Linked DNA regions of Lonchura striata. The protein of the gene in region 2 interacts with the protein of the main gene of each other region in a pairwise test. Links are inferred from orthologs where the notes say so. Each region holds a gene or a part of one and is shown on either strand. Other genes may lie near its edges.

What was found.
Region 1: the proteins of SETDB2 (region 2) and ARL14EP interact in binary tests that used the Homo sapiens proteins (3 or more experiments, as listed by UniProt). The two-hybrid records come from large-scale screens. The link is inferred for Lonchura striata from reciprocal best matches to the Homo sapiens genes SETDB2 and ARL14EP.

What each region holds. Positions count from the first base shown.
Region 1 is NC_134608.1:61,357,895-61,361,641, forward strand, and holds the start of ARL14EP (ARL14 effector protein), read right to left. Parts: upstream 2,732-3,747; 5' UTR 2,601-2,731; intron 2,574-2,600; exon of another isoform or gene 2,389-2,573; intron 461-2,388; 5' UTR 381-460; coding exon 1-380.
Region 2 is NC_134604.1:62,438,711-62,442,457, reverse strand, and holds the start of SETDB2 (histone-lysine N-methyltransferase SETDB2), read right to left. Parts: upstream 2,919-3,747; 5' UTR 2,662-2,918; coding exon 2,646-2,661; intron 1,683-2,645; coding exon 1,623-1,682; intron 1-1,622. UniProt on the Homo sapiens protein: Histone methyltransferase involved in left-right axis specification in early development and mitosis. Specifically trimethylates 'Lys-9' of histone H3 (H3K9me3).

The DNA of each region.
Region 1 (3,747 bases), on a different chromosome or scaffold from region 2:
TCCACACTTCCATTTATTATCTGCATACATTTGGGACAAAGCTTCCAACCTGGAACAAACTGCCTTCCAAACTTGGCACTTAGAAAAGCTGCATCGTCTAAGTCAATTGCTCGCAAGTTTTTCTTTGATAGTTTTCTGTGGATGTTGAAGGGGTCACAACAGGATTTCTGTAAGTCTTCAAACCGTTCAATGTAAATTTTGGCATGGTGGAGGCAGATTGTGTTGCTCTCTGACAGGGTTATCCCAGTCCTGAGCTGAAGCAGCAGCAGGTCAGATGAAGAGATGTCTTGTTTGGTCTTGAAGCCGGTGTGACGGGTGTAATAGGTCTTATGGCATTCATTGGTGGCTTGGAGCTGAACTCCAACTGAACAAGGATCCATTTTACTTTATCAGAATGTCTCTCATCTGTTTTGCCCAAAATAAATCTTTGAAGCCTTTAGGAGTTTCTGTGAAGATCACCCTAGAGAAAGCATTAAAATCCATCAGATTTGCAATGCAAACTTTTATCCATAAGTCTGACATACTGGATGTAAGTAATTTAAAAAACATGTAAAGAAATTATAGCCTTCTAGTCTAGATAAAGCTAAAAAGATAATAGATTTATTCTGGAATCAAACCATGTATTTTCTATTCCTTTCAGAGGCTTTTTTTTTTTTTTTTTTTGCTAAAATAAGTATCTATTCAAAATGTTTAGTTGCATGACTGTCTCAAAAGCAATCTGGGAGCAAGGTACAAAGTCACACAGCAGCCTGCTCTTGTCATTGGTTTTCCTGGGGACCCCCTCTCCTGGGACAATCCCTGCCAGCCAAGACCTGACTGCCCACAGAAAGGGACTGCTGATGGCCACACATTTTACCCATCCTGTTTCCAAGGAGCTTCTAAAGGGGAAAAAAGCTGCAGAAGGTGGGCTGCACAGGCTGGCTGGAGTCAGTCAGCAATTCCCACCCAGCAGCACTTTCCATGTGTATCAGGTGCAGGCCAACACCCTGGATCAAACCTGAGCCTTTCCAAGAACCAGGCTGGGCTATGCACCAAGATGGGCAGCTCCAGTTGTGTGCATTTTTGGGGTCATGTGGCCTTTGTGTGCAGCCCTCTGTTGGGCAGTTATTTCATAGTTATACACTAACATCAAACCAAATTACCAAATGCCAAGTGAGCTACTGCAGACTGATGTTGGAACCCTGGTTGCTGAGAATTTCAGACTTTCTATACTGGCAGGCACTGGCCCCCAGGAGAACTCTGCATGTGACCTGAGGCTGTGGAGAAACTTCTAAAATTGAATGACAGAACTGGGATTGCGGGTGTGGAGTTTGAATAGTGGTGTAGTTTGAATCACATGGTGAAAAACTCAAGAGTTTAAGGTTTTAGAATAGGGCAGTGGCTGGTCCTTCTCCACGGGTTTGGGTGGTTTTGTGTAATTGGATAAAGCAGTCCACATTGGTTATTGGGTTAAAAGTAACAATAATTTAGATGTCACACTCTGTTTGTTGCTAGCCCAGTGATGGCCCTAACACACCACAGCCTGAGCCCATCTTGCACTATTTTCACCTCAACATAAAAAGAAAGGAGTAATTTGCTCTCAAATCCTCCAAGAACCTTAATTACAATGAGAGTAGCTTAACTGGTAGGTTTATGTTCACCTATACCCTGTTCTGCAAAGGCAAAACGCAGACAAATGGAAAAGCAGGGTACTGGTTGTGTCCGAGAGGGAGTCAAACTATTCACAGTGGCTGGTGTGTGAATGATTTTTAAAATCTTTTTTAAAAGACCACCTATCAAACTTCACCATCTTAGTGAGCCAGCTCTAACGACAATCTTTTTTTGTTAGCTGCACAAAGTTTGTGTTCCAAGCCAAGGTAACTGGAGCCGTAAATGAGCAAAGTTCACTACAGCTGAATTAACATTTTAACAGCATTTAGGCAATACTAAGTAACTTTACTCGAAAAAGTCTGTTACATCACGCCTGCTTCAAGTGCTAAGGTGCATTTTTGACCGATTCCTGTGTGTGAGGTGGGGCTTGTGTGCATGGCTGAAACTCACCACATCAATAGACAAGTGACAGTCTGAATTTTCAAAATTAGCACATGGATTTTAAGTCAGGACTCTTGGACCATGTTCTTATAAGAAACCTAATTTGTCTCCTAGGGGAAAAAAAATCCCCAAATAATTATTACAACGTCAGGTATCTCTTCTACCCGCTGACTATGCTACGTGGTATTCCCTACATTAAACTGCAGAACATCTCACGTCTGTCACCTGGCTTTGTTCAAACGACAGTACTGCTGACGGAACTTAGGGATCGCTTAACGCGCAGCAATTCTCGCTGGCAGCTTCAGCGCGTTCCCTCCGGGCGGCAGGAGCACGCCGCTGCTTTTCCTGCCAGCTCACCGGGGCGGAAGGAGCAAAGCCAGGCCCCGCGGCCCGCAGGTGTGTGCCCCTGCCGACGGCCGCCCGGCGCTGCCGCAGCCCGAGCGCTGAGGGGCCAACAGCGGCGAGGAGGAACGGGCCCCACACGGGCCTTCCAACGCCCGGGCACAGAGCCCGGCCCCTCGGGGCCGCCCCGGTACCTCCCCGCGGGCTGTGTGCCGCCGTGCCGGTACCTCTCCGCGCTGTGTGTGCCGCCGTGTGGGCTCCCGGCCTGCGCCCGGTCCCTGCGCGCCGCCGGCGGGCGGCGGCCATCAGCGGCGGCTGCGCCCCCAGAGAGCGGGGCGGGGGCGGCACTTCCGGCCGGCGGGCGGCACTTCCGGCCGGCGGGCGGCGCTTCCGGCCGGCGGGCGGCGACAGCGGCACCTGGCGGCGCGGAGCCCGGCCTCAGGGGCCCGGTGTTCGCCGGCCTTTCCCAGTGTTCCCCGGCCTTTCCCGGTGTTCGCCGGCCTTTCCCGGTGTTCGCCGGCCTTTCCCGGTGTTCCCCGGCCTTTCCCAGTGTTCCCCGGCCTTTCCCGGTGTTCGCCGGCCTTTCCCGGTGTTCCCCGGCCTTTCCCGGTGTTCCCCGGCCTTTGCCGGTGTTCCCCGGCCTTTGCCGGTGTTCCCCGGCCTTTGCCAGCGCTTCCCGGGGCCGGTGCTGAGCGAACGCGATCGGCGCGGCCGTTGAGCGGAAGGTCGCGGCCTGCTGCAGGCTCCGCCGGCACTGACCGGGCTCGGGGCCGGACCGGGGCTCGGGAGTGCCCTGTGCTGTACCGGGAATGCCCTGTGCTATCCTGGAATGCCCTGTGCTATCCCGGAACGCCCTGTGCTATCCCGGGAATGCCCTGTGCTATCCTGGGATGCCCTGTGCTATCCCGGAACGCCCTGTGCTATCCTGGGATGCCCTGTGCTATCCCGGAATGCCCTGTGCTGTACCGGCAGTGCCCTGTGCTGTACCGGCAGTGCCCTGTGCTATCCCGGGAATGCCCTGTGCTATCCCGGGAGTGTCCTGTGCTATCCCGGGAATGCCCTGTGCTATCCCGGGGGTGTCCTGTGCTGTACCGGGAGTGTCCTGTGCTGTACCGGGAGTGCCCTGTGCTGTACCGGGAGTGCCCTGTGCTGTACCGGGAATGCCCTGTGCTATCCCGGAGTGCCCTGTGCTGTACCGGGAAGCCCTGTGCTCTCCCGGGAATGCTCCGTGCTATCCGGGGAGTGTCCTGTGCTGTACCGGGAATGCCCTGTGCTATCCCGGAGTGCCCTGTGCTGTACCGGGAAGCCCTGTGCTCTCCCGGGAATGCCCTGTGCTATCCCGGGATGCCTTGTGCTGTACCGGGAATCACTTGT
Region 2 (3,747 bases):
CTAGTTTAGAACCTTTGAGGTGCTAAGCCCATTCATGAAGGCTCTTGTTAAAACTTCAGCTGTGCATCTTTGTCAAGGACTGTGAAAAGGAAATATGTTTCAGTATGTCAAAAGATGATGACAGAAGAAAGAACCAGCTCTTTCTCAGTTAATGTTGCTCTTCTTCAAAGACCAAGCATAAGCAAATCTGTTCTCCTACTCCATTTCTAGAGGTGGAGTCACACTGTCACACAGGTTTTACATTCCACTTTCAGACAGCAAATCTCTGTTGGCAAATGTGCAGGGATGACACCTTCTCAGCAGTCAAGAAATACTACATTCTTATCAGGCTGCATTCTTATATAAAAAAATATTCCTTCATTTTTTAACTTCGTAGAGAATGACTTCTGTTGCCCAGGATACCAGAAGCCCAGTGATGCTATGGCAGTGTGGTTACTCTCAAAAGCCCCATGACAGCAGTGAAAGAAGTGACAATCTTTTGTCACCACAACCCCTGCTGCTCGTGTCACCAGCACCTAAAGGCATAATACTTAATATCAGCAGGCAATGATAAAAGTACTTTTTCTTGTGAAATAGTCTGATTTGGCATTATCTCTTGACAAAATTTAATTATCTATTATATTAACATTATTTTTTTTAAACATGTGGAAAGGTTAAAGTACAATTACAGAAAAAGCAACAACAATTTTTGGAAACCTACAATACTGGTCCAAGAGACACCACCTGCCCTGTGCCATTCACACCGTTTTGCTGTGCATGACATTATTACAACTTTAAAATAACAAAAACTATATTTAATATTTGCATTTAAAACAAAAATTTAAAAATACATTCAATTAAAAATAAACATCTAGAACGTGTAGTAATAAGTTTCTCCATTGCAGATTAAAACTGCTGTCCTTATTCATTACATATTTTCAAATATTTCCATACATTGATTAAATCTGGATAGCACTGGTGGATGGATTACTTTAGAGGATGGGTGACAGAACAGCTTCTTGTTTCTGGGTCCACAGCTATAACAATTTGTAGGCCATAGGGGAATGAAACACTCACCTCGGAAATGACTCCCCAGTTCTCATGCTGTAGTGACCCAAAACTCCAGTAGCAAAAGCTTTGCTTTGCATGGAGAAGCAAAGATTGCATTTGAAGATGACAGTATAATTTTCATTTCAAAAAATGAAATGTCCACACCACTAATCTCTCCAGTGCTAATGCTGCTATCACCAATCACAGCCAGAAGGACAGGGAATGAGCAGCCACCAGATACATCTACCTTGTCATTATTCAGAACCATCTCTCCAGCTGATAGATCAGGGTGTGTACTGGCATCTGGCTGGAGGGATTTTCTTTTCCCTTTATAGAATCATTGTGACCACATATCTCTTTTCTTACCCAGCATTGTGCAGGGGAGTGATGCTAGAGCAAGCAACAAGCAGCCAAGGTCAGGGTTTACTACAGCCACCAAACAACCTGGGTGCGTGTTTCCTGTAGTGCTGCCGACAAACCTCTTACACCATAAAAGGCAAAGCTATTGTCTTCCAATAGTAATTTTCATATCAGAATGACTGCCAAATACACACTCCTTTCCTCTTTAGCTCCATTAATCCAGATTACACTACCTTCAGTGCTCTCCTCCCTGGAACTGTTAAGGTTCTCCTCTTCAAAGGAGTCACACAGCACTGCAAGAGGTACAGAATGGACAAGTAAGAGATCGGGTGAGAAATTAAAATAGTTGTAGCGACTCAGCTTTTCAAAATTTATACACTACAGTGGGTATCAGGAGGAGCACAGTGTGAGAATATGTTGTGTGGAATAGTTATTCCCCTTTCAAACAGTCATCCCACGCCTTGTCAAGATCTAGCTGAGGAACACTCAAACAAGCAATGTGAGGAAATTTTTTTACTTAGGTCATGTCTTACTGTCTTTGAGGCATGAAGCTGTCACAAGATGACCCAAACTTTCCAGCACATTCAGTTGAGCTTACACAACTCCTTTGCCCATTAACCCACAGTTGTTTTTTTGTTGTTGGTTTTTTTTTTTTTTCCTAAATTGATGTGCTCAGTACAGCAATACTATAACTAAATCAATTTATTTAGAGGGAAAAAAGGAAAGCTTTTTTTAGGTAAATAAATTACTGATTCTGTTTGTTGACAAATGCAAGATACCCTTCACTGCAAGAATACTAAGAAGTAAGACAACATTCTTCAACCACATTGAAGATTCCAAATTTTTATCTCCGTGAATCACGGAATCAAATAGGTTGGAAAAGACCTCTGAGATCATCCAGTCCAACCTATGACCGAGCTGTAGGATGCCAACTAGACCATGGCACTGAGTGCTACATTCAGTCTTCCCGTAAACACATGCGGGGACGGTGACTCCACCACCTGCCTGGGCAGCCCATAATGACACAGACAGCGTAAAACATGCCTTATTTACGTTAGCTACTTAATCTTTTCTGTGCCGTAACTGAAAAAAGAAATCAACCCCAAGCCTTGCCATTCATTCTGGGTTCTTCATTTAGTTGAACGGGAAAATAGGTTAAGACAGTTGATTCCTAAAAATGTTTATTGCAAAACAAATGGCTGCCCCAAACACGCATATATATATACGTATATATATATATATTTTTAAAGGCTTACTGCTTTTCTGTTCCATGCTGCGGGGTCGCTGCCCGGAGAGCTGTGCCGCGCCGGGGCGGCGCCGAGCCCGGCTCAGGTCGGGGTCTCGCCGCGCTCCGCCACGGCTGCAGGGCCCGCGCCGAGGGCCGGCGGGCAGGGGCCGGGGCGCCTGTGGGGCTGGGAGGCTGGCATGGGGCGTGCCTGCGGCCAGGGGTCGGGCCCCAGGTCACTCCCGCACCCCTCGGGGCCTCGTCCCGACCCCCGCCGCCTTCTTCTGCTTCTTCCCTCCTCCTCCTCCTCCTCCTCCTCCTCCTCCTCCAACGCTGCACGCGCGCTGCTGGCCGCCAGGGGGCGCAACCCCGCCGGGGAGCGCGGGAGCCTGGATGTGGGCGGTCCCACAAGAGGCGGGGCCGCGCGCACCGCCCGTCTCTCTCTTCCCATTGGTTGCAGCGGCAGGAGGGGCGGTGGCACCGGCCAATGGAGGCGCAGGGAGGGCGGGGCCGCGGGCGGCGGAGAGGCGGCGCTGGCGGGGCGGGGGCACGGCCGAGGGACTGGAGGTGCGTCCGCCATGTTGGAGGGGCGGGCCGGGGGCGGGCTGTCCGGCGTGAGGGGCGCCGGCGCCATCTTGGGCCCGGGAGGAGAGCGGGGAGCGGCCGGGTGGGCCCGCTGGTCGGGGCGGGCTGCGCTCTGCTCATTAATGTGTCGTAAATTAAAGCGTTTGGTACGTGCGCCAGTTGCGTAACCTCCTTGCTGGTCTCTGCTCTTCTTCCTTGCTGGCTGCGCTGCTGCCGTAGGAAGCGTTGAATTGTTGCTGCCCTTTTCGAAATGTGAAAATAAAGTTTTATATCTCTCTTTGAAATTTTCAGCTGCGTTGCCTTTGCGAGTGTTGGTGTTGTGGCTACGTAAAGATGTTTTTCACAGGGGCAAAAATATAACCTACTCTTAAAAAGCGGGGAGGGTGCTTTTTTGCTTTTTTGTCGCTTCTTTTTTGCCACCACTTTAAAACGGTAGAGATCAACATAATGTGCTTAAATAATTGGGAAGATATTTCCAATCTTGTAGATATTGCCAATTTTGTCGCGGGGGGTAGAAATGTGATTATTCTGGGGATGGGAATGCTGTG